Tribolium castaneum: one gene and its partners. The protein of the gene in region 1 purifies or fractionates together with the protein of each later gene. This does not show direct contact. Links are inferred from orthologs where the notes say so. Each region holds a gene or a part of one and is shown in the gene's direction. Other genes may lie near its edges. The genes, in order: SMC1, wapl and Sf3b3.

What was found.
Region 2: the proteins of SMC1 (region 1) and wapl purify together in Homo sapiens (affinity purification with mass spectrometry; 7 studies listed by BioGRID and IntAct, with this or other methods). This does not show direct contact. The link is inferred for Tribolium castaneum from reciprocal best matches to the Homo sapiens genes SMC1A and WAPL.
Region 3: the proteins of SMC1 (region 1) and Sf3b3 fractionate together in Homo sapiens (co-fractionation; 3 studies listed by BioGRID, with this or other methods). This does not show direct contact. The link is inferred for Tribolium castaneum from reciprocal best matches to the Homo sapiens genes SMC1A and SF3B3.

Annotation. Positions count from the first base shown.
Region 1 is NC_087394.1:36,158,424-36,165,934, forward strand, and holds the start of SMC1 (structural maintenance of chromosomes protein 1A), read left to right. Parts: upstream 1-2,827; 5' UTR 2,828-2,941; coding exon 2,942-3,053; intron 3,054-3,109; coding exon 3,110-3,230; intron 3,231-3,278; coding exon 3,279-3,384; intron 3,385-5,023; coding exon 5,024-5,172; intron 5,173-5,225; coding exon 5,226-5,394; intron 5,395-5,442; coding exon 5,443-5,655; intron 5,656-5,703; coding exon 5,704-5,955; intron 5,956-6,002; coding exon 6,003-6,217; intron 6,218-7,190; coding exon 7,191-7,404; intron 7,405-7,460; coding exon 7,461-7,511. Other genes in the region: slow (delta-like protein B), read left to right, coding at 1-85, 136-252, 311-478; protein LLP homolog, read right to left, coding at 570-926; uncharacterized protein LOC103314045, read left to right, coding at 1,287-1,323, 1,374-1,678, 1,802-2,551. UniProt on the Homo sapiens protein: Involved in chromosome cohesion during cell cycle and in DNA repair. Central component of cohesin complex. The cohesin complex is required for the cohesion of sister chromatids after DNA replication.
Region 2 is NC_087397.1:5,067,153-5,074,856, forward strand, and holds wapl (protein wings apart-like), read left to right. Parts: upstream 1-2,574; coding exon 2,575-2,740; intron 2,741-2,905; coding exon 2,906-4,188; intron 4,189-4,909; coding exon 4,910-5,158; intron 5,159-5,207; coding exon 5,208-5,672; intron 5,673-5,718; coding exon 5,719-5,941; intron 5,942-5,989; coding exon 5,990-6,105; intron 6,106-6,151; coding exon 6,152-6,470; intron 6,471-6,516; coding exon 6,517-6,707; intron 6,708-6,760; coding exon 6,761-6,898; 3' UTR 6,899-7,338; downstream 7,339-7,704. Other genes in the region: uncharacterized protein LOC103315102, read left to right, coding at 1-766; alpha-2-macroglobulin receptor-associated protein, read right to left, coding at 882-1,357, 1,405-1,834, 1,881-2,081. UniProt on the Homo sapiens protein: Regulator of sister chromatid cohesion in mitosis which negatively regulates cohesin association with chromatin. Involved in both sister chromatid cohesion during interphase and sister-chromatid resolution during early stages of mitosis.
Region 3 is NC_087394.1:10,468,267-10,476,017, reverse strand, and holds the start of Sf3b3 (splicing factor 3B subunit 3), read left to right. Parts: upstream 1-2,846; 5' UTR 2,847-3,130; intron 3,131-3,398; 5' UTR 3,399-3,411; coding exon 3,412-3,848; intron 3,849-7,751. UniProt on the Homo sapiens protein: Component of the 17S U2 SnRNP complex of the spliceosome, a large ribonucleoprotein complex that removes introns from transcribed pre-mRNAs.

The DNA of each region.
Region 1 (7,511 bases):
CGACGACACAGCGCTCGAGGCCAAAGATTTGGATACACAGCAAAAATTGGATAAGATGGATAAACGGCTGCAGATGCTCGAAAAGGTATCAAATTAGGCCGAAATGAAAAGTAATTAACTTGATGCCGATTTCAGATGGTGAAAGAAAAGAGCAAAAACGAAGTTACGAAGCAGGATCTTAAAAGTATTTATGGAAACATTGATAGGATGTCTAGTGATATTGGTAGTATAGCGTGCAAGTTGCGGCGATTGGTACACGATAAATTTTTCTTAAATTCCCCTGATGTGCAACAGCAAAAATTAATTTTAGGAAAGCTGTAATCAAGATAAAACGCCACCAAAAAGTTGCATCGATCTTGTAGAAAACACAATTCATAGTAACACCAAACCCCCTTCTCCAGCCGACGAAGCAAGCTGTGATTGTGAAAAACCACAAGAACATCCCCCAGGGTGTAAATGTATGTCGTCGTCAGTGTAAAAATTTGAACTTATATTTATATGTAAAAACACAAATAAAGACTCAAAAAAGCATTTTTATTTTTAATAATAAACTGTAACATTTGAAACAATCAATGTTTGCCCTTCTTCCCTCTCTTCCCCTTCTTGGATTTACTCCTGGCAGTTTTCCTCGGGTGCAGCCATACGGGGTATGCGCCATGTTGATCCCTCAAAGTCCTAGGATTAAAGACACGCTTTTTTGAGTCGGTCTCCATTTGTTCCTCATTTTCCGCACTTTTTTTAACAGATTTGGGTTCGACGACGTTCACTACGTCCGAAATTTCTGTCATATTTACATCCTTGTTATCAGACTGACTGTCGTTGATCCCCAAAGTTTTTTTCAAACGCTCCAGTTCTTTTTTGCCATAACGTTCCCGCTTGATCGCACGGCACTTTCGCCTCCATTTGCTTCGAATGCTCTTTGCCATTTCCTAAAAAACACTGGCAGTGCGGAAAAAATTATTTCTTTTGGCTTTTACAAGAAGAAAACACGAGTGTCACTTTGAGGTTAATTTTTAAAATGTCAGTCTTAGAAACTTTGGTTTTGACACTAGAAATTAAATTTATTGCTTAACTAATGACACGATTAGTTTACTAAATTATTATCTATTGGGAAATATTGGTTTATGGTTAGTATATTTGTACCGTTAACTAATTGTTAACTAACATGTGCACTTGGGCAATAAATTTATATAAAAATAAATGGGTTTGTTGGGTTGGTGGTTCTGTTATTCTATGGTTGACAGCGGAAAAGTGACCGTTATTTCGTGCGTTTAAAAATTTTAAAAATGGATCACCGGCTAACAAAAATTTGCGATGGTTTCGGTAAGCTCATGAGACTCGCTAGTATCGTTTAAATACTTGGTAAATTGTAGCAAAAGATGAAAACGGGAAAATTGTCACATTACCCTTACAATTACCTCAAATATCGAACGCTCCAAGTTCGTTAACAAGAAAGAGCCCCGAAAAAAGAAGCACGGTGAAGAGGAAATTTATACCAATTGAGCGAATGCCATTTTGTGCCGCTGATTTTGAGAAATCTCCGAAAAAACGTAAAGTGGAAAGACCCGTCTGCAAGCAACTGTTTAAAGCACCCAACGAAAAACCACAAAAGAAGGGTTCTTATAACAGTCGTCAGTCCCTTATTACTAAGAAAAAAACGGTGCAACGTGCGCCAAAGGTACAATATTAACGACCAAAAGGGCAAATTATAAAAACTCGTTTCATGAGGCTTTGAAACTGGTCTTATGAAACCTTTTTAATTTTACTATTTTACAACACATGCTAGTAATGTTTTTTTCAGGTCAGTGTACAAAATGCGACTAGTGATGATTCAGTTTTAATTAATGCCGATGAAAGTTATTTATCTGCCACCAAAGCACGACCTGCAACGCCTTTACAAACCTTATCAAACCTTCTGTCACCCATCAGTGACGGGTCTGCAAATTCCGAAGACAGGGAGTTTTTACTGTTAGAACAAGCATGTGCTTCGGCCAAAAAGCCCCCTAAAAACAACAATCGTGTTGCATCACCCATGGCTTCAGTGTGTGCCTTACTAGAAAGTACAAAGATAACAAATTCAGTGCAAAAAACCAGCTCAATAGTTGATAAAATAAACGCTTTACTGAATGAAGATGATGAGGAGTTCCAGCAGTATGTGCAGAAACGTCAAGTTAGAAGAAATCAAATAAGGGAACTGGTCCGTGGCCTGCTTGACGAAGATAAGGAAAATAACGTCAGAAGATCGGATCGAATAGCAGCGAAACCATCAGTTAAAAAGTTTGTTGTTTCACCTGCAGTTACGAAAAGTGTGGATTTGCGTAAATCAACCCTGAACAAAAATCTATCAAAGAACATTGAATGCAACAGTCCTACAAGAAGAGCGCTTGATTTGTACACCAGTATGCGGAATGAATGTGCTGTTTTGTGTACCCCACAAGTGGACAGAGACGACAAAATGCCATCAAGTGGTAGAAGATCCAGAAGTATCTCTAGGAAAATCCAAAAGCAGTGTCTCTTGTTGCAAGATACACCGAATAAATCATCATCCTAATGCAGTTTAATTTTGTATTTTGTAATTTACTGATTTATTATTAAATTTTCCCTCTACACTACCAGAAATTTATTTTATCAAATTTTTTTTTGTCAAGTTGGTGTTCCATAGTTGTAACTGTTGCAACTAGTGTAAAAGGCTTGAAGGAAGGCAACAACAACGTTGCTTTTTAATAAATTAAAGTTTCTTCGTATATTTATCTCAAAAATGGTTGTTTTTCTGCCCAACTTGTGTATTTTTTGATTTTTGTCCTCACCTCATCTGGGGATTTTAGTGTGTTAACTTGCCACAAGTTGGCGGTGACGCTAGCCGCAGCCGCCATACTTGTTGTTTGTGGTTGTGCGGTGTTTCTGTTTAAAAAATAATGCAAAATCTGTAAAAACCCACAAAATGCCTCCGAGATTGAAACACATCGAAGTGGAGAACTTCAAGTCGTACAAAGGGCACCGAATAATTGGGCCCTTGAAGCCTTTCAATGCCGTAATCGGCCCCAATGGCTCAGGTAAAACACCGTTACATTTTCCATACAAATATCCTCCAAGTTGTGTAAATTTGAAGGTAAATCCAATTTTATGGACGCAATTAGCTTCGTTATGGGCGAAAAGACGCAAAGTTTGCGTGTTAAGAGATTGAGTGATCTTATCCATGGGGCTGCGATTAGCAAACCAATATCCAGAAGGTATTGCCGCTTTCACTTGTTTTGGGACACTGTAACTGTCTTTTTCAGTGCTTCAGTTGCTGCTGTTTTTGTTCTTGATGAAGAAAGTGGCAAAGAAATTTGTTTCCAGCGTTCGGTTCAAGGTTCTTCATCTGAATACAGAATCAATGGAACTGTAAGTATCTTCATCTAGTTGGAGACAAGTGCTTCACAGATCAGTATTACGTGAGTTTTTGTAATACTGCTTAGGCAAGCACAGAGATTATTGTTCTACTAGATATTTTGATGCTACTCGTCTGTAGATACATTACAGCAGTTTATTACATTTTATTCACCAAACAATTTGATTTGCCATTTGTCTAATTTATGTACAGGCACTTTTTTACAGAGAATTTAATGTTATCAACGCTTTTTAGGAATTATGTGTAGTTGGCTATCACAGTTTCGTAAAGCCAATTGTTTTCTGATCTAAAAAATGTAAATACAGTTTGATATTTTTATATACTTTTATAAAAAAAATATTTCGAAAATTTGATAACATTATTTCATATAAAAGTTTTGTGAAAAATGTGAAATTATAAAAATATAAGTTATGTTAAAGCTATTTTCATTTGAACAATTATACGATTGTTTCAGATTTAAGTCATCAATAGATTGAAAACATTTATCAACGGCAAAAATATATCATTTTCAACCCAGTTCTGGTTATTTTTCGGCTCATTTTTTACTAGATTTCTCAAAATAATTGCGTTTCTAAATGAAAAACATTTGATAAAACACAAAATCGCGAAAATAATGCAATTTGCGACCAATTATAGTGATTTTCTACTCCAGTTTCGCAAAAATTGCTCTATTTCGGAAATAATTTTTAACGTGTTGAGCACAATTTTCGACCCAAGTCGATAATTTTTGTCTAAATTTTACGAAATTATTAAGTATCTGACTAAAAAAACGTTCTTAAACGGTAAAAATAACGAGTTTAGCGAATTTTCGGCACATTTTTGATTAAATTTTGCAAAATAATTGCCTTTCTACATGAAGAACTTGTTGATAAAACGCAAAAACGATAAAATATTGTAGTTCTCGATTTAATTTATTGATTTTTCACTTTGGTTTTGTAATTACTGCTCCATTATCAGTATTATCACACTAATTCGGTAAATTTTTGGTTTATTTGTGACAAAACTTTTGTAAAATAATTGCATTCCTGGATGAAATTTTGTGATTTTTTACTGTGATTTCAGAAAAACTTAATTCCATGTCCTAAACGTGCTTAAAAACGCCCAAAAACCTGGAAAAATTGCTCTAATTTTGTAATGGATTTTGACCTAAAACGTTCGAAATTTTCACAATTTTTGAACCAGTTAAATGATTTTTTATCGAAAAAACATAGTTTTAATCCAAGGCCAAAATTACATAATGTTCAGTGTAACTTCAATTTTATTCTTAAATAAAAATAGTATGGTATAACGTAGGTAGTAAAAAAAGTTACTTACCTCATTCTTTGAAAAATTGAAGAAACTCCAGATACTATATCTTTTTAAAATAAAATTATGTTTTATTAAGTTAATAAGTTTTTTCTTCTAATAATATGTGAGATTTTTTAATAAAAAACTGAACGATTTCCAACATGTGAATGGTCAAAAGACTACTCGTAAACTAAATATTTCTTGTACTACTATTATAATTTTAGAGTAAAAACGTAATAAAATTTTGAAAACTGAAAATTATGCCTTGCTTTTTTGCTACTTTACGTAATGGGAAACCTTTTTTTTACCAAAACTATATAATCCCAAAATGATTTTCTTACTTAGGTCGTTTCAAACAATGAATATTTAACTGAACTGGAAAAATTACGCATCAATGTAAAAGGGAAGAATTTTCTGGTCTTCCAAGGTGCGGTAGAATCTGTTGCAATGAAGAATCCCAAAGAAATGACCGCACTTTTTGAGGAAATTAGCGGGTATTTATCATTTTGCATTAATTTTTTGTGTTGCTAATTCCAACCAAATTTAGTTCCGGTGCTTTAAAAGAAGAATATGATCGCCTTAAACAGCAAATGCAAAAGGCACAAGAAGAAATCAACTTTGCTTATCAGAAAAAGAAAGGCATAAATGCTGAACGTAAAGAAGCGAGACTTGAGAAAGAAGAAGCTGATAAATATTCACGACTTAAAGATGATTTGGTATGTTTTACTATTTTTTTTTTATTTTTTTAATTATTGCAACCACAGAATGACAAACTGGTGGAGCACCAACTTTTCCGCTTATACCACAACGAGCGCGAGATGAAAAACCTGGAAAACGATTTAAAACACAAACAACGCGAGGTGGAAAAGATCGAAAAAAAGAAAGAAAAAGCCGAAGAGGTTTTAAAAGAAAAAAAGAAAGAACAAGGCAAATTTAACCGCGAGTTGGCAAAAATCGAGCAAGATATTCGCGAAGTTGTAAGTTTGAATAATTTATTACTTGCACCTTCCTAATTTATTTCACAGGAAGTTGAGATTTCCAAAAAACGGCCGCAGTTCATCAAAGCTAAAGAACGTGTCTCCCACATGCAGAAAAAATTAGACGGAGCGATAAAAACATTAGAACAGGCGAGAAAAGCCCACGAAGCGCATATGAACGATATTAAAAAACTGGAAGACGAATTGGCCGAAGTTGAAAAGACGAAAGACGAATATGAGAGTCAAATTGCCGGAGAGTCGCAAAGTCAAGGCAGAGATGTGCACCTTGAAGACGAACAGGTGAGAAATTACGGAAATGGTGATTGGTTTAGGACTTCGCTGTGTAGGTTAGAGAATATCATCGGCTGAAAGAAGAGGCAGCCAAGAGGTCAGCCAGGTACATGCAGGAGTTGGATTCTGTCAACAGGGAACAGAAGTCGGATCAGGACAGACTTGACAATGTTTCAAGAATGCGCACTGATGCCGAAAATAAACATCGGCAGAAGTGTCACGAGAAGGAGGAAATGGAGAAAAGAATTGAAAAGCTGGCCGAGCATATTCGGTAGTTAATTTTTTCTTTATTTTTTTTTTTTTTGTATTTTCTATACAGGTTGAGTCAAAACTGTCAACTTAAAAGTTCAGTAAAGCTTAAAAAGCTTAAAAAATTCGTATGAATTATTATAATTGCTTGCATATAAAGGTAAACATAGTAAAAAAATTCTTTGTATTAAAATTATTGATTAATAACGAATTTTAAATAAATGATTTGTGGCAACGTTGTCTACCAGTCAACAATAAAAAAAATAATTTTAAACGGTTTCCTAGGAAATAATTTCCAGTGTTGACACATCTACAAATTGTGTTTTTTTTTATGAATGTCATTTCTTTAATTCAAAAAACTGACAAAGTCTGATAGGAAATTAAAAAATAACTATTATCCGTTCACGATTGTTTTAAATTCTCAGCAGGCGTAGATATATTTTTGTTAGGTTGGCCTCAGGTCCTGTCAGGTACTGTCTTTATGACGTTGTCTTGTCAAAAATTCGCTGTGTTGTCAGTTCTACTGCTTATTAATTTAAAATGTCGAAAATAATATCTGTTGATAAGAAAGTGTGTATCAAAAGATGCTTTGAAGGATGCAAAAAAGACAAACCCGACTTTTTTATCTAATGATAAGGAGTAGAATAACAATAAAAACGTATTCAATTATTTTTTAAAAAAACGAAGCAAACTGACAACAGTCCTTGGTTGTCATCAATTATAACCCAAAATAAATTTCTTATGACAACTCACAGTATTGCCAAATAAAATGTCAGATTTTCATAGATAGTCCGAATTTAAAACAATCGTTTAATTTAATCATCGTTTTGTTTGGAAACTATTACTTAGTGCGAAACATAAAAATAATGAAAACTGAAGAAGTTTTGAGCAACCTGTATACGATTCATTAAAATTAATTCATGAGTTGATTAAGTCTATGCAAAAAAATTATTATTTCTTACGTGTTTCAATTTGTATTTTTTTGTGGTTTAAAGGTTGAGTGAACAGGCTTTACAAGACCAGAAACAACTGCGTTCTGACCTACAATCAGACGTTGGGTCATCCAAAGACCGCGTCCATGAAATCCAGAAACAACTGGACGATGTGTTAGAACAACTGGGAGATGCAAGAACCGACAAACATGAAGATGCAAGACGGAAGAAAAAACAGGAGATTGTTGAGCGCTTCAAAAGCAACTATCCTGGAGTTGTATGTCTTGCTAACACTTGTTAAAAAATTTATGATTTAGTTTTTTCTTTTTACAGTATGATCGCATGATCAACATGTGCCAACCCATCCATAAGAGATACAACGTT
Region 2 (7,704 bases), on another chromosome or scaffold:
TTCACATCAAATTCAAAACGTTCCAAATAATTTTGTTATGAGTCAACCGATGGTTTACGACCCTTTAAATTTGTTGTTTGCTGAAAACCGTGCACAAAATAGTGAAGTCAGGTTAAATTTATCGCAAATTTCGGACAAATTAAATCAGATTATTAGTTTGGTTGACTCAGATAAGCCCAGTGACAACTCAAATAGCTTGAAAAGTAGACTCAAAGTGTTGGAGTTGCGTAATGAAAACTTGTTGAGGGAATTGGGATCAAGTCAGGAAGAAAACGCAAAACTCAAATTACAATTGAAGGAACACGAAAGTAATTTGAAGAGTGAGGAAGAGAATAAACTGGAATTGAGGCTTTTGGAGGAACAAGAAACCGTCAAACGAGAGAAATTGGAAAAAGAAATTTGTGCACACAAGGACGAAATCGCTGCCCTTTCTAAAACCGTGGAGAAACAAATAGAAGAAATTGAGGCTTGCAAGCAGTCAGAATTAGCTCAGAAAGTTGAAATTTCACGCCTCGAAAATACCATTTCTGATTTGAACACAAAATTGCAAGGTTATGAGAATAAGGAAGCAAGACCAGAAATTTGTGAGGAAAAAAATGCGAAATTTATTGCGTCACTCAAGGATGCGATGAATAATATGTACGCAAATATTATGTCAAGTTGCAGCGAAGATCAGCAAACCGAAATCGGCAAAATTGTTGCCCAAAACATCAAAACCACGACACTACAAATAATTCAAAATTTCCAACAAGAGTATGAAAGTTAGACTGAGGGAAAATAATCATTTCCAATTATTTGTGATACGTATTATATTCGTTAAAAAATACTACAAAATAAACAATTCAAATGCATTTTTGTTATTTACAACACTAATTAGATAATCACAATTCAATATGCCTCTGCATTATCCTAGTTTCCAGATCCAAGTGAATTTTCTCGACCTTCCTTGCATGCTTTTTAATCGTGTCTTCCATCATCTGCATTCCGTTTGTTTTACCCCCTGCCATTTCCATTTTTTTCTTGTGCAGATCTTCTTTCAAGGCAGCTTCAGCCTGAAGATGCCTCAATTTAAGTAACCTATTTTCATAGTGCAGGAGCTCCACTCGTAACGACTCCAACTCGTCAGGTTTAAAGTTACTTTCAATTGCGATTTTCCATAAACCTTGAACTTTGGGTTCCACAAATTCTTTACTGTTGGGCCCCTTTGCCGCCAGCAAATGCAAGCGGTCGTAGCCGTCCCGGATATCCTTGTGCTGCTCCCTGAGGAGGTTCACTTTGTCCAGATAATCCTTGTTTGCCTGTGGCTCTTCCAGACTTTCAATGGTGTTGAATTTGTCTAAACCATCATCTACCGAATCTAGAATTAAAAAATTAATTTGTGGCACAACGATTGAAGGAACATACTGGCAGTGTTATCGTCTTGTTCCTTGCCTTTGACATCATGCAACAAAGCGTAATATTGGTCAACTTTATCCTGGTGGTGGGTAAATTCCTCTTTTAAAGCCGCCAACTCCTCGGCCGTAAAACCAGCAGTCTCGGCTTTTTCCCACAGTTTGTTCAACTTTTTATCTTTAAATAAACTCTTGTTTATGTATTTGTCGGAGGCCTCATTCAGAGGTTTATGAGCTCTATATTTAGACGGGTCTTGCACGTCATCGGCTTGGTCCAGTAAATTATAGGACCCCATTATTGTCAGCAATTTCTTCCTCAACTCGGCCTCTTTTAACCCGTCTTTGTCCTTCCCCTCTGCTTTCAAATGCTTCCAAGTGATTTCCTCTTTATCGTGCAATTTCAATTCGCCAAACAGGGATTTTAGTTTAGGTTCAGAGAGCCTCTAAATATTAATTTAATTAAAGCAGCTACTGGTTGTAAATACGTACCACCACAGCCTTGGACCATAAGAGATTTAATTTAGCCATCCTGAAAGGCTTATCCAGGTGCTTCAGCGACACCGGCCGAAAATCCACATCATCGTTCGATTTTTTCACATTCGCTTCGGCCGAATATTTATTGTGACAATGAGAAATCGACGAAAAACTAACAATTAACACACCAATTATCAACTTATCGATAGGACACATCTTTTTGGGTTATTTTTGAAAAGTTGGACGAAAATTTTTGACAGTTGCAAGCGGTTGTATAAATTTGACAGATGAGCGTCGTTGCAACAGCCAACTGTGCAACCTTACGTAGATTTCGTAGCCGTTATTTACTGGCGTGTTTATAACGTGAAAATTCTATTGACAAGAAAAACCTAATTATTTCCCGCATTTTCCCAAAAGTGGAAACCCTCATACAAATAATGTGGTATCTGTGACACCTTACCAATGCCTGCAAGCCCACTTAATAAATATCAATGGACCTTCATCATTTGATGAAAATGGCGAAGTTGAACCAATTTTAACAAAATACACCAAAATGTACAGATAAATCGCCAAAATAACATCATGGAACTCGATAGTATTACTAGATAGGACGTTGGGGACGCGTTTGTATTGCCAGGAATTTTGCCAGGGCTCAAGTTTTAATCCGAAATGTTTGAGTGAGGGGTACTTTTGAGTTCAACTTTTAAAAATGTCAAGAGGGTATGGGAAGTATCGCCGTGGAGGAAGTTCACATGCAAGTTTCCATTTCGACAATTTATTTAAGGAAAATGCTAACAAACCATCTGCCGCAAGGTCTGCAGCCACTGTGGGCAAGTGGGGCATCACCTCCTTCACTTCCATACGTACCAGCAATGGTAAGTTGCCCCTCGACAATTTTCGACATACAACTATAATTTCGCAACAGTTCTGTTTTTGTGGTCATTAATACTTATGGAATTGAGTTGATTTAGTTAGGTTTTTTTAAGAGCCAGTAGTTTAAGCTCTCAAAGCCCCCATTCACTGTAGTTGTTATAATCCAGGTTTGTCTCGTTCAGAAAACGAAAAAAACGCCTCATCTGAAGGAGAGTCCGTGCCGAAGCCGAAGAAGTTCTTCAAGAGTCGCAACACGGAACCCCCTGACCTGTCTTCGTCCTACAAGGCCGACATGACATACGGCAACGTAACAAAGAAGCTGAAATTAGTAAACGAACCGACGGAGAAATCCAAAAGTGTTGGTCGTAAATTTTTTTCGTCAAAGAGCAACTCGCCTGAAAAGACTGTACTAAGTTCAAATGTAAATAATTCTAAACGAAACGAAACAAAACCTCCAATAGTTTTAAGGATATGTAAAGGAAAATCCCAGTTAGTGAACGATTCGGACGAATCTGAAAGCACGCCCACACCATCCAGCACCCCATCGACTTCAAACGCCACCTCTCCAAGGGCTCTCAGGGACACAGCACAAAGATCACCAAATTGTCGCATCACCAGGTCAGCGAGAAGAAGCATGCAACAGGACCCCAGCAGCAGTCCGGCAACGGCCGACACTCCGACCGAATTCTCCCTCTTCACTTCGCCCAAACAGGACATAGACCTGTCCCCGCAATACATCCCAGCTGAAAGATACGAAATGGAGCGGAAAGCCATGTACGATAACTTGCTTAAACCAAACTCGCCTTCGCAGCTGTTCCCCGAAGAGAAGAACAGCACCGAAGATTCAGGAATTGATTACGTAGATAGCGAAATTAGTGCCGAAAAAGAGCCGGAAGAAACCGACAAAACCGAACAAATCGAAACTAAACCGAGTGAAACCATCGAAGAAAAAAGCCAACCGGTTGAAGAAACCAAATCGGGGGAAGAACCAGTGACCAAGGGTTCAATAGAAGAGGAATGGGACACCGACGAGGACAGCAACAGCACCACCCCAGACTCAGAAATCAAAACGCAGCTAACCGAGGATTCGGAACCGCTCCCACTGCCGGTGGAAGAGCAGAAGGAGAAAAGTGCGGAAGAAGGCGCCCCCGAAACTAGCCCTCCCGTTAAATTAGTTATCTCAAAGAAGAAAGGAAGTATTTTTAAAAGTAGACCTTTAGTTACGGACGTGACGAAAAAACGGCGCGCGTTGTACAGACACAAGTGGAGTGATGATAAAGACGCCACGCAAAAATCGAACGAAAATCCTAGTAGCAATAATACGGGTGGTTCAGTGTATGACGAGTTCAGTTTTAATGATGATCCTTTGACGAGGGTCACGGTTGGGGGCAACAGCGACGGCGAGGACGAGAGTGTGACCAGTATCAAGTGCACCAAGAGTGACAAAGGGGTGAGTTGTATGAAGACAAAAAAATACAAGCATTAAAAAGTAACTCATGTTTACAAAAAATTATTTTTGAACATTATATTAAAATTAAAATAATATTTATACGAAATTTAACAAATAAAATATATTTATTTTTTTTATTATGCCCATAGAACACTACATAATTTAATATAATTTAAATGGCCTCAATTTGGTGATGAACTGATGAATTTTTTAAAAGTTTTTTTCTGTAATATAATCATAAACTGTACTTTTAAACTAGTTATTAACATAATACAGCATGAATTAATTGTGTATTCCTGAATTTTTTTGAATAAAATAATAAGTAATTGAATCAAATAAATTGAAGCATCAAAAAAAATAAGAAGAAGATAAACAATTCACAGTTATCTATACTTGGAGTACAGACGTTCTGCTAATTTTTTAATTTAAATATTGAATATTACATAGTACCATAAGTAATTAATAATTCTTTTTACAACCGAATCATATATACTTGAAATATTTTGTAAACCAGTGTAATTAAATAAGAACAGGTTTTAGTTAATATAAACAAAAGTGAGAGACGCATTTTTTGTAAAGAAAACATTAAAAAAGCTTCATTTGGATGGTATTACGCATTTGTCAATAAAAAGTTATTTGCTAAAAAAATAAACGTTCTTGTTATTTCGCTTTGTGGACTGTTACTGTTTGGTTTATCTGATTAATTTGTATGTTTTCTCAGTTTTACACAGTCGTCCGCAACGTGAAGAAAGCCCACCAGATCCAGGAAATCGGCGAATTTCAAGAATTCAACGACGACGTGGAGTACATCCTTGATGCCTTGCAGGATAATAATCCAATCAGTACTCGCTGTTTATCGGCCATTACTCTAGCTTCTAAATGTATGGTGCCTGCGTTCCGGATGCACGTGCGTGCTCACGGAACCGTAGCTAAATTTTTCAAGGCACTACATGACGCCACCAAAGACCAAGTATTATTTCACCAATTGAAATTTCCAAATTACTCAAATCGTGTTTTAGAGTCTTGGTCTATGTACAGCGACTGTCATGTTCGTCCTGAGCCAGGACCGGCTCAACATGGACCTAGACCGCGATTGCCTCGAACTCATGTTAAACCTTCTCGAATCGGACGTAAGCTACCAGCAAGCGCTCGACGTCTGCGGCTTGAGCTCGGCCCAGTTGGAGAAAAATAAACAGAAAGTTAGGGAGCTGTGTGCCGAGATACAAAGTCAAGGGCATGCCATGCATCTGAATCTCGATAATATAACTGTGGGTCAATTGGCAATGGAGACGCTTTTGAGTCTCACGTCGAAAAGGGCAGGCGAGTGGTTCAAGGAGGAGCTGCGGGAGTTGGGCGGCTTGGAGCATATTATGAAGACGATATGCGAGTGCTGTAGACAGGTGTCTGATTATGTGGTTTCGTGGACTGATGCCTTGTTAGATAAACTTCGGAAAGTTGATAGGTGTTTACGTGTGCTGGAAAATGTACGATTTTTATGTGAATCGGCGCAAAATAACTTTTCACTTGTAGGTCACTCATAATAATGAAGAGAATCAAACGTACCTGTTAAAATATAATGATGGAGTAATTTTAGATACGCTCGTTAATTTGTATAAACTATGTGATGGTGAAATACCTCTGTATCCAGTGACTGATATAACCGATAAGGAGTCGACTGGGACTATAATAAGGGAAGCTCTTCTCGTAACTCTGAAAGTATTAATTAATTTAACACACCACTTTAGTAAACAATGTAGGTTCTGACAGTTAAAATTTCACCCAATTAACACTGTTTTTACAGCCATGGGAAGTACCTTAATAGGTTCGAGGAACGGCATTATTGAAACAAGCCTGCATCTGCTTCTCCAAGTGCCGCACTATATCCCCGAACAAAAGAAATTCGAATTGGGAGTTTTGGTAATAATTTATTGTGTCCCAAACTTCAAATAACCAACTATTCCAGGTCCTCATGTTGTTGATTAACCTTATTCAAGATAACGACAACAACAAGAAGCTGTTGATTGAAGCCAAAGCCCCGTCAAAGCTGGAAAGTATTTATTCAAGTGAGTCAAAAATCACTTCGGTGGTGTTTGCTGACTGTGAATTTGTAGGAGAAGAAAGTGCCGTTGAGGCTTTGATCGCGCAATTTTATCACTGGGAAGGGTGTGCGAAAATCGCTGAAAAACGGACCAACGCGATATTGGACGGTGAAAAAGATGAGAACAGTGGTAACGTTGCGTACAAGTCAAATGAGGAATTTATCGAGGAAACTGTCGCTAAATGTGAGTTATAATAATTTGTTGCGATTTTATAACTGTGTGGTTCTAGTGCTACAAAAAGCCGGCACACATATGGAGTACACCTTCCTGGCTTCGTACATCGTTATGTTGATTGGATTCCTGATAATGGACAACAAGGAGTACCAAAATAACGTGCGACAGTTCCTCCGTGGGAACAATTTTGCCGATATGGTCGAACTGTTGAAGAAGTTCTTCAATTTTATGAATTTAACTGCTTCGGTACGTGTTGTTTTGTTGCTAAATGTTGGTTTTATGATTGTTTTTTTTTACAGACGGAAGCGTCAAGCGTTTGCGCAATTAAAGCCACCGAAAAAGTCATCAAGTTTCTGGAAGAGTGTGACAGTCCTCCGCCTGAAGAGAAGCCGAGTTATACGGAGTGTATGGATCTTAGTTACACAATGGCACACTAGCATTTAAATATTGTAAAGAATCAGTTTTGGTAAATCGTAAGAACGTTTCAAAGTGGTGATTGACTATGAAAATGCACCATCATTTCTCTAGTACTTACAGTTTACTGAAATCACAAAAGTAGAAAAAATACAAAAAAATAGTCATATTGATAGTTGACCTAGATTACTGAACTGAAACATTTCATTCTTTATTTTATTACCTTATTCTGTTGTTAGTATTATTTAGTGTTAAGCCTATGAAATTTAACGTAAGGTTCAGTATGTCGTTTTATATTTTTATCGTGGCGAATTTATAGTTTTGTTCAAGTGTATATACTTACTACTGTATATGAATTTTCTTATTTATTTCATGACTAGATTACTTGTAAAATTACCATAATGTTATTTGGATTGTTTAAATATAATGTACATAATAAATACTGATACTTTTTAAAGTTTTATTCATTGAGTTTCTTTCAAACCTGCACAGACAATACTTCACGGGGCGATGAACAGACACCGTAGAAAAAAATTAAAAATACCTTCTTATAAAAAATTGGATTACCTTGTACCTACCTGTCCTAAAGAGTCCCATCTAATCAATAATGATTGTATGTTATTTAAACATGAGTCAGAATAATAATTTATTTCTCTTGGCCTCTGCGAAATAAATTGTGAAGATATGCAAATAATTTTCCCCTACGATTTTTATGTTGCCTACGTAGCACCCATCCCTCGCCCATTCATGGGTCTCAAAACGTGCAACAGGTGTTTTACAGTTATTTGTAACCTGAAACCACGTGTGTGCAGTTTTTGAATTTGTAAGT
Region 3 (7,751 bases), about 26 Mb from region 1:
ATAGGTAAAAATGATAATGTCGTCCTTAATTTACTGATTTATCAGCTAGGTTTATTAAAATTTTGCAAAAACTGCATACTTATTTTAAATAGAGTTCCATTCTTGAACTAATTTTGAGATTTTAAAATTTTACTAAACAACGTTTCTGGCAACGCACTATCAAAATTTCGGTAAAAACTGAGTTAGACTTGTCTAAGCGCTTGAAAAAGACAAAAATGACGCCAACTTTATTTAATTCGACGAATTTTTTGGATAATTCCATATCAAAATGTGCGTGCCTTTGCAAATAAATAATATAACACAAAATAAGTACACACAGTTGTTGTAAAATCAAGCATTTAATTATTTTATAAAGTGATACTTTAATGTGGGGTTTTGGGAACTGCTTGTATTTTGATTTTTTTTTGACATTGTACATTGTTTATATTGAGTGTTTTTTTATTTATGGTTCTAAAAAAAAGTGGAAAGCTTTCCAAGTATAGTATAATATCATTAATTCGAAAAGTTGGCTCCACTTCAGTGCAACAATGGAGCCAGCTGCGTTCTAAAACTTTCCTTCTTGGATGTTTTTTCAAAACTCGAACTAGGACGCTTCAAAAGTTGGATATTTTATTAGGTAACATTTATTTCCTCTTCCTAGCTATCGATTGGTTTACAAAGTCTAAGGGAGAAAACAGCATGTTATTTGTCTCCTTATGCACATCATTCGAACCTCGAACGATCCCGATAACCCATTTCTTTAAAAAGATGATAAATGACGATTTTTATCAAAACAAAATGCAACACAATATACACCTTCATTATGTAACTATACATGGTGCTGCATTTTGGATGTCCGAATACGGGATCTTCGAAATTAAGAGGTTTAGAGAAAAACGATTAACACATTCTCGGGTCCGTTTTTTGAGAGAATAATTTTGGTCAAAACCGCATCTCGCTATCGTTTTTTGTTTTCGACTTATAAACAGAAATTGACATTTTAGCGAAATCTAGTTGGCTATGACATTCTCGAAAAGCTTATTTTTTTCTGATTTGATATGTTTATTTGTGTAATACATTAATTTTAAATATTAAAAAAAAACAAAACATTTTGCTTTTAACTATGAAATAATTATGAAACTATGAAAATTGTTTTACTTGTATTTATAATTTATAATATTTATATATATATATATATATATATATATATATATATATATATATATATATTTATAATTTAATGATTTTTTAAATCCTTAATTCCAAAACAGCATAATAAATTTTTATTAATTTAAATTTTTGCAATTAATAAAAATTATTTGTTTTTATATTTAAAATGGCAAGCTTACGTTGTTATTCTATTTTACAATTTTAAACATGAAATGTCGGAAAAAGAAAAAAATAATTGTATGATTGCGTATCAATAAAATTTTATTTTACAAAAAAAATGTCAATCCAAACACCAAATCAAATTTTATCTGCGGTAAAAAAATATACAACATTATCAACGTCACCTACACATTTTTTATGTAATTAAAATCTGCGATCATCGTATATTTGTTCAATTCAAAATAACTTCAACACAGCTTATTTTTATAATTTCACATTTTTTACTTTAATAACCGTTCACAAAATTTCTAGATTATTCACACCTTTTATGTGAAATAATTTTTTCATAGCCAACTACTTTCAAATGTTTTAATATATTTTTATCATAAATATACAGCGTGCTCAAAAACTGGCGCACCAACTCAATGGTGTGTGATAGAGAAGTGGTTACATATAATGGTAAAAATAGTAAAAAAATTCTTTGTATTAAAATTATTGATAAATAACTAATTTTAAGTAATTGATATGTGGCAACGTTGTCTAATAGTCATGATCGCAATAGAATTTGAGCAACAATAAAAATAAATTATATTTGAAACGGTTTCCTAGGAAATAATTCCCAGTGTTGGCACATCTACACATTGTGATTTTTTTGGATAAATTTTAATTTTTTTATATTAAAAAAACTGCTAAAATTTGATAGTAAATTTTAAAATAATTGTTAATCGTTTTGTTACGGAACGATTACCTGGTATGAAAAATAAAAATATAAAAAAATAATAAAAACTAAAGAAATTAACACAATAAGTTTGTAGCTCCAGATTTTTTAAAATATAACTTTAGGAATTTTTTCAACATTTTTCCCGTAATCTGCACTTGCTTCTCAATAACGTACCACTGAGTTGGTGCGCCAGTTTTTGAGCACCCTGTATAAAAACATCAAACTATATTTATATTGTTTTGAGTTCAGAAAAAAAAAGCTTTTCGAAAATGTCATAGCCAACTATAATTCTCATTTAAAAAAATAAAACTTTATGTCATTACAGCTAAGCGAATGAGTAAAAAAAATCGCTGCTAACATTATTAAATTCTCTGTAAAAAAGTGCCTGTATAATGTTTTTGTTTTAAATATGTATCTTTTATAATAAGGAAGATATGATATCTTTACAATAACTTAAAATTTCATCAAACAAACGCATAAGACTATTACTGTAAATTGCATTGAACTAAAACTCTGAAAATTGTCCGGAAAATATGGTACAAAACAATAAGCTTTTTACTAGAATTTGGATTCTTATTTGCCTCAAATTGAGATAAACACAATCAAGTTCTAAATACAGTACCTACAGTACGGTAAAAACAAAAGATACATACTGGCAATATCAAACGCATAAATTGTTAAAGTATAATTTTGGCCAAAGATAATTTTCTGAAAAATTTATTTAAATTGAAATTTCCTCTCAATTTTCTGATTGGTTTAGAAATTTTGCGCTTGCGTAGTAAAAAATATAGCCAACACGCACGCGCAGTAGCACTACATTTCTTCTTTCCGTTTCCTTTCTCACTTCACCGGTGTTTGTGCGTTATTTTGCCGGTCTGTCGCCATTTGCAGTTAGTTTTTGTACTTTTTTGCTAAATAATGTATCAAAACATTGCAAAAGGTGCTTTATTATTGTTTTTTAATTAACTTAACCATCGACAAAAACGCTCAAATAAATAACCAAGTCACCACGTCACAACAATGTGAACCATGCGAAAATCGAAAATAAATGGTTGAAAAACTTTGAAATATTGAACGAAACGAAGCTCATCCACGTTCAAGGTAACAAAATTTAGCTTTGATTTTGTTTTATAATTAATCACAAGTACGTATTTTTGCCCAAATTAACGAGTTGCTTTAAAAATTTGTAATCGGATGCACTTGGTATCTCCTGTACCTATGTATTGTATACGTACAGGTCGTAAAGGGTGCTATATTATGGGGCACATCGCATCGTTGGCTCAAGCGAATTACCAAGCTAAAGCCTGGTTTTAGTGCCCCACATTTTCAACTAAAAAATGATACGTTCTAACCTCACTTTTCTTCCTAGATAAGCCCCCAAAATGTATCTCTACAACCTGACCTTACAAAGGGCCACAGCCATCACCCACGCCATCCATGGCAATTTTTCCGGCACCAAAATGCAAGAAATTGTCATTTCACGTGGCAAAAGCTTGGAAGTGCTACGGCCTGACCCCAACACCGGTAAAGTCCACACGCTTCTAACCGTCGAAATATTCGGAGTCGTCCGCTCGTTGATGTCGTTTCGACTCACCGGAGGCACCAAAGACTTCGTCATCGTGGGCTCCGACTCCGGCAGAATCGTTATTCTTGAGTATATCCCGTCTAAAAACAACTTCGAGAAGGTCCACCAGGAGACGTTCGGCAAATCGGGGGTCAGACGTATTGTTCCAGGCCAGTACCTAGCCACTGACCCTCGAGGACGTGCTGTAATGATAGGCGCCGTCGAGAAACAAAAACTCGCTTACATTTTGAATAGGTACAAATTTTTTATTAAAGTATTTTTGTTCTGTAAAAATTAATGAATGCACAAAAAACGTGCGGTCTTTATTAGTTAGTTTTGCGGAAAACTATTTTAGAAAGTTATAATTACATCTGCATCTGAGTGACATTTTTGGAGTGCGATTTGTGCAAAATTGTAAGTTTCTGTAAAAGAAAAAAAGTTTGTGCTAAGAAAACCCACCAGAAACTCAATTTGCGTTACATTTTACTCCAAAAAATGCAAATACGTTTTTGCAAAATTCTACGACCTGAAATGGGATATACCTACTTAATTAAAAACAAAACGAAATAGATTACCACAATTAAAGAATACATTATCAAGCCCCAGTGAGTTTTGTGTCAAATTCGAAACTTTTGTATAGTTTTACTGTATTAAAGAATGAATTTTGTAAAAACAAATAGAAATTGCTGTTTAAATTTTAAATGTGACAGTGCGGGAAAGCTATTTTTAAAATTTTTGGCAATCAGTTCTGCATTTAGACGGCTCGGATAATCCGTACGATTCTATTAACCGAACTCCCAAATTAAGTAAAATAGTATACATAATCCGAATTACCATTCATTTATTTTGACTTTTAATTATTTTGTCGAAAAAAGTATTTGTTTAAAATACACTATCGGACAAAAGTAAGGCAACATGTTGAAAAATATACAAATATTGGTATTTTAAATTTTAAGAGTTGGTATTTACCTTCAATTTAATTTTATAATAAACGTTTAAAGATATTCTTATTCGTGTTGAACATGGATAGCCAATGGGTAATTATTATGACATGCTACTAGCTTGAAATATAAAAAAGCCCGATATTAATGCGACAAAAGTAAGGCAACATTGTCAGAAAATATTTTCAACTCAAATTTTATTTGATTCAACATTTACATAACACTACCCAACACTAAAGTTTAAATAAATAGAACGAAAAATTCAATAATTTATGACATAGCCGTTATTAAGTATAATTTTTTGGCACCGTCTGGGCATTGAAGAAATTAATTTTTGAATAACATTTTCATCCAGATTTGACCACACTTCTTTGATTTTATCTATCAAAGATTGCTTGTTGGGAAATTTTTGTATCCGGATTCGTCGCTCTACCTCTTCCCATAAGTTCTCAATTGGGTTGAGGTTTGGTGATTGGGCAGGCCATTGCAAAACATGAATATTATTATTTTGGAACCACTCACTGACCAATGCAGAAGTGTGTTTGGGGTCGTTATCTTGCTGAAAGATAAAACGAAGAGGCATTTCCCATTCTGCATACGGCAGCATTACATCTTGGAGTATGTCCTTATGGATGAACCGATCCATATTACCCCCAATAAAGCTCAACGGACCCACACAATTCCACGAAAAACACCCCCACAGAAAAACGCTACCATGACCATGTTTAACAGTGGGTGTAACATACTTGGGGTTGAATCGTGTATTGATTGGCCGTCTCACACGTTTCATTCCATCCGAATTAAATAATTTGTATCGAGTTTCGTCACTAAACAGAACTTTCCTCCAATCTTGCTTTGTCCAATTCAAATGTTCTCTTGCAAATTGAAGTCTGGCGCGTCTATTTCTTTCGGAAATCAAAGGTTTTTTAGCAGGACGTCTACTAAAAAGCTTTGCTGCAACCAGTCTTCTTTGAATTGTTCGTGTACTAACTCCTACTTCCGGTATTTCCGCTATAATTTTAGATGCAGATTTCCATGGATCGTTTTCCGAAATTCTTTTAATGCGTCTGTCCATGTTTATAGTGGTTTTTCGTGGTCGTCCCGATTTTGGATTATTGTTTAAATGTCCTCTTTCGTTGTAGCGAATAATTATTTTAGACACGCTGTATCTAGGCAGTTGAAATCTTCTTGCAATATCCGCTTGTTTTTCATTGTTTAAGAAAGCATCGATCACTCTTTCTTTCAACTCTTTACCAATTGGTGTACCCGTTGGCATGGCTCTTGTTGCGCAAGACGAACTGTTAATATTGGCCTAACAAATTTTTCATTATAACAACATTTTTTGAAAAAAATCTAAATGTTGCCTTACTTTTGTCGTCTTAAAATAATCCTTTTTTACACTACAAGTCAACAAAGCGGTTTTTTTCAACCTTAATAAATAATTACTTGACATTAATGACAGTAGCTTCCTTTGATTCTTTTAACAATATCATAGTTTGCCCGATCATAATTTATTTACATTAGATAGACATTAATTTCTATATTTTTCAAAATGTTGCCTTACTTTTGTCCGATAGTGTATGAATTTTAATTTTGTATTTTCTTATTTTTTATAGATACAGGTTTTGAGTATATTTTTTGCTGTCGGAATAGCTGTTTGCTTGGTTAATTGGTTATTAACCAATGGTTGGAGGTACCTGCAAACCGAACGCGTGTTCGGATTATTGATAATTATAATTTTTTATGAATTCTATAATCCGAACGTGGTCAGTAAACTTTTTCTTCGGATTATCCAAGTATTTACCTTTTAGGTTTTATCCATTTCCGTTAGCTACCCTTTAAATGTTTATTCATATCCTTATCAAACTCCAAAAGACATGTGTATTTGTTTTTAAGTTAGGGGTGATTTACTTTTGAAATTTAAAATCTCAGTAACCTTTTTTCTGAGCTCTATACTGGATAAATTTGAATAAAATACTGTGTTTTCGTTAAGTATCATTTAAATTTTTTATTGTGCAAAATATCATACACGTGATTTCTTTAAAACAAGCTATCTTGAAAATCTCAGAAAATAAACAAAAAATAGAAAACCTTTTAACATTTTAAATTGCATCACCTCCTTTATGATTATTCATTCAACTTACTTTCAAAATGACATAACGTATCTTCAAAAAGATATTTTTATTTAAAGTGATGATATTAATTTATACATTCATAAAGCACCAATGTGTTGGATGATTGAAAATTTAAATACATGTTCTCAAAATCGTTGTAAATAATCGATTAGTTTGGATGGAACAAGAAGGCGTCTAGTAAAAATTGAATCTAAAATAAATAAAAAAAATCTGAATACTTTCAAAACAACAAAATTATGTTAGAAGTGCTGGATCTATTAAAAAAAATAATTTAAATAAATTTAATTTAAAAAATAATAAAAAAATTTAAACACCGCATTTAATCTCAAAATTAGTTGTTAAAAATATTAATCATGTACTTCAAAAAATTACTAGTCAATGTAATTTATAGTTCCAATGACAGATTTCACAACTATTTTACAATTTTTTTAACGTTATTTATAAAAATAATGTGGTGAATTGCGATGGGGGCATTTTTATTGAATTGTAATGATAAGTAGAAAGATTGCGAATGATTCTTTCATGAAAACAGGTAATAGAGTGGACAAGCACAAATGTGCTAAGCAGTTTTATTATAAAAAATTAACAGTTATCAAAAAGGGAATAGCGTTATTGTGAAACTAAATTTGAAGTACGTGATTTTGTCACTGCTTACAAGCAAATTTAAAAGCTGTGGATATCTGCTCGCGAATAGATTTCTTTATAACATTATAATTATTTTATTTGACCGAATTTCGTTCCAAGTTAATTTTTTTACTAAACCCATAAATTAAAAGAAGCAGTGAAGCAAAAATTCTTCTATTTTAGAACGATATTAATTAGATTTATCATCAAAACTTATGCGAATGTTGGCAATATTGGTATCTACATTACATAGACCAAGATTAAGTAGAATAGCAGAACATGAGTTATTATAAAAGTCTTATACAAGAATTCATACGCCATGTACCGCTAATTCAAAATTAGAAATACTGTGATGGATTCGTCAAAAAAACGCTTCACGTGCAACTCATATAAGCACGGAAACATAAACAACATTGGCAAAAAACAAGAAAACAACTAAAAGATTTCACAGAGATTAC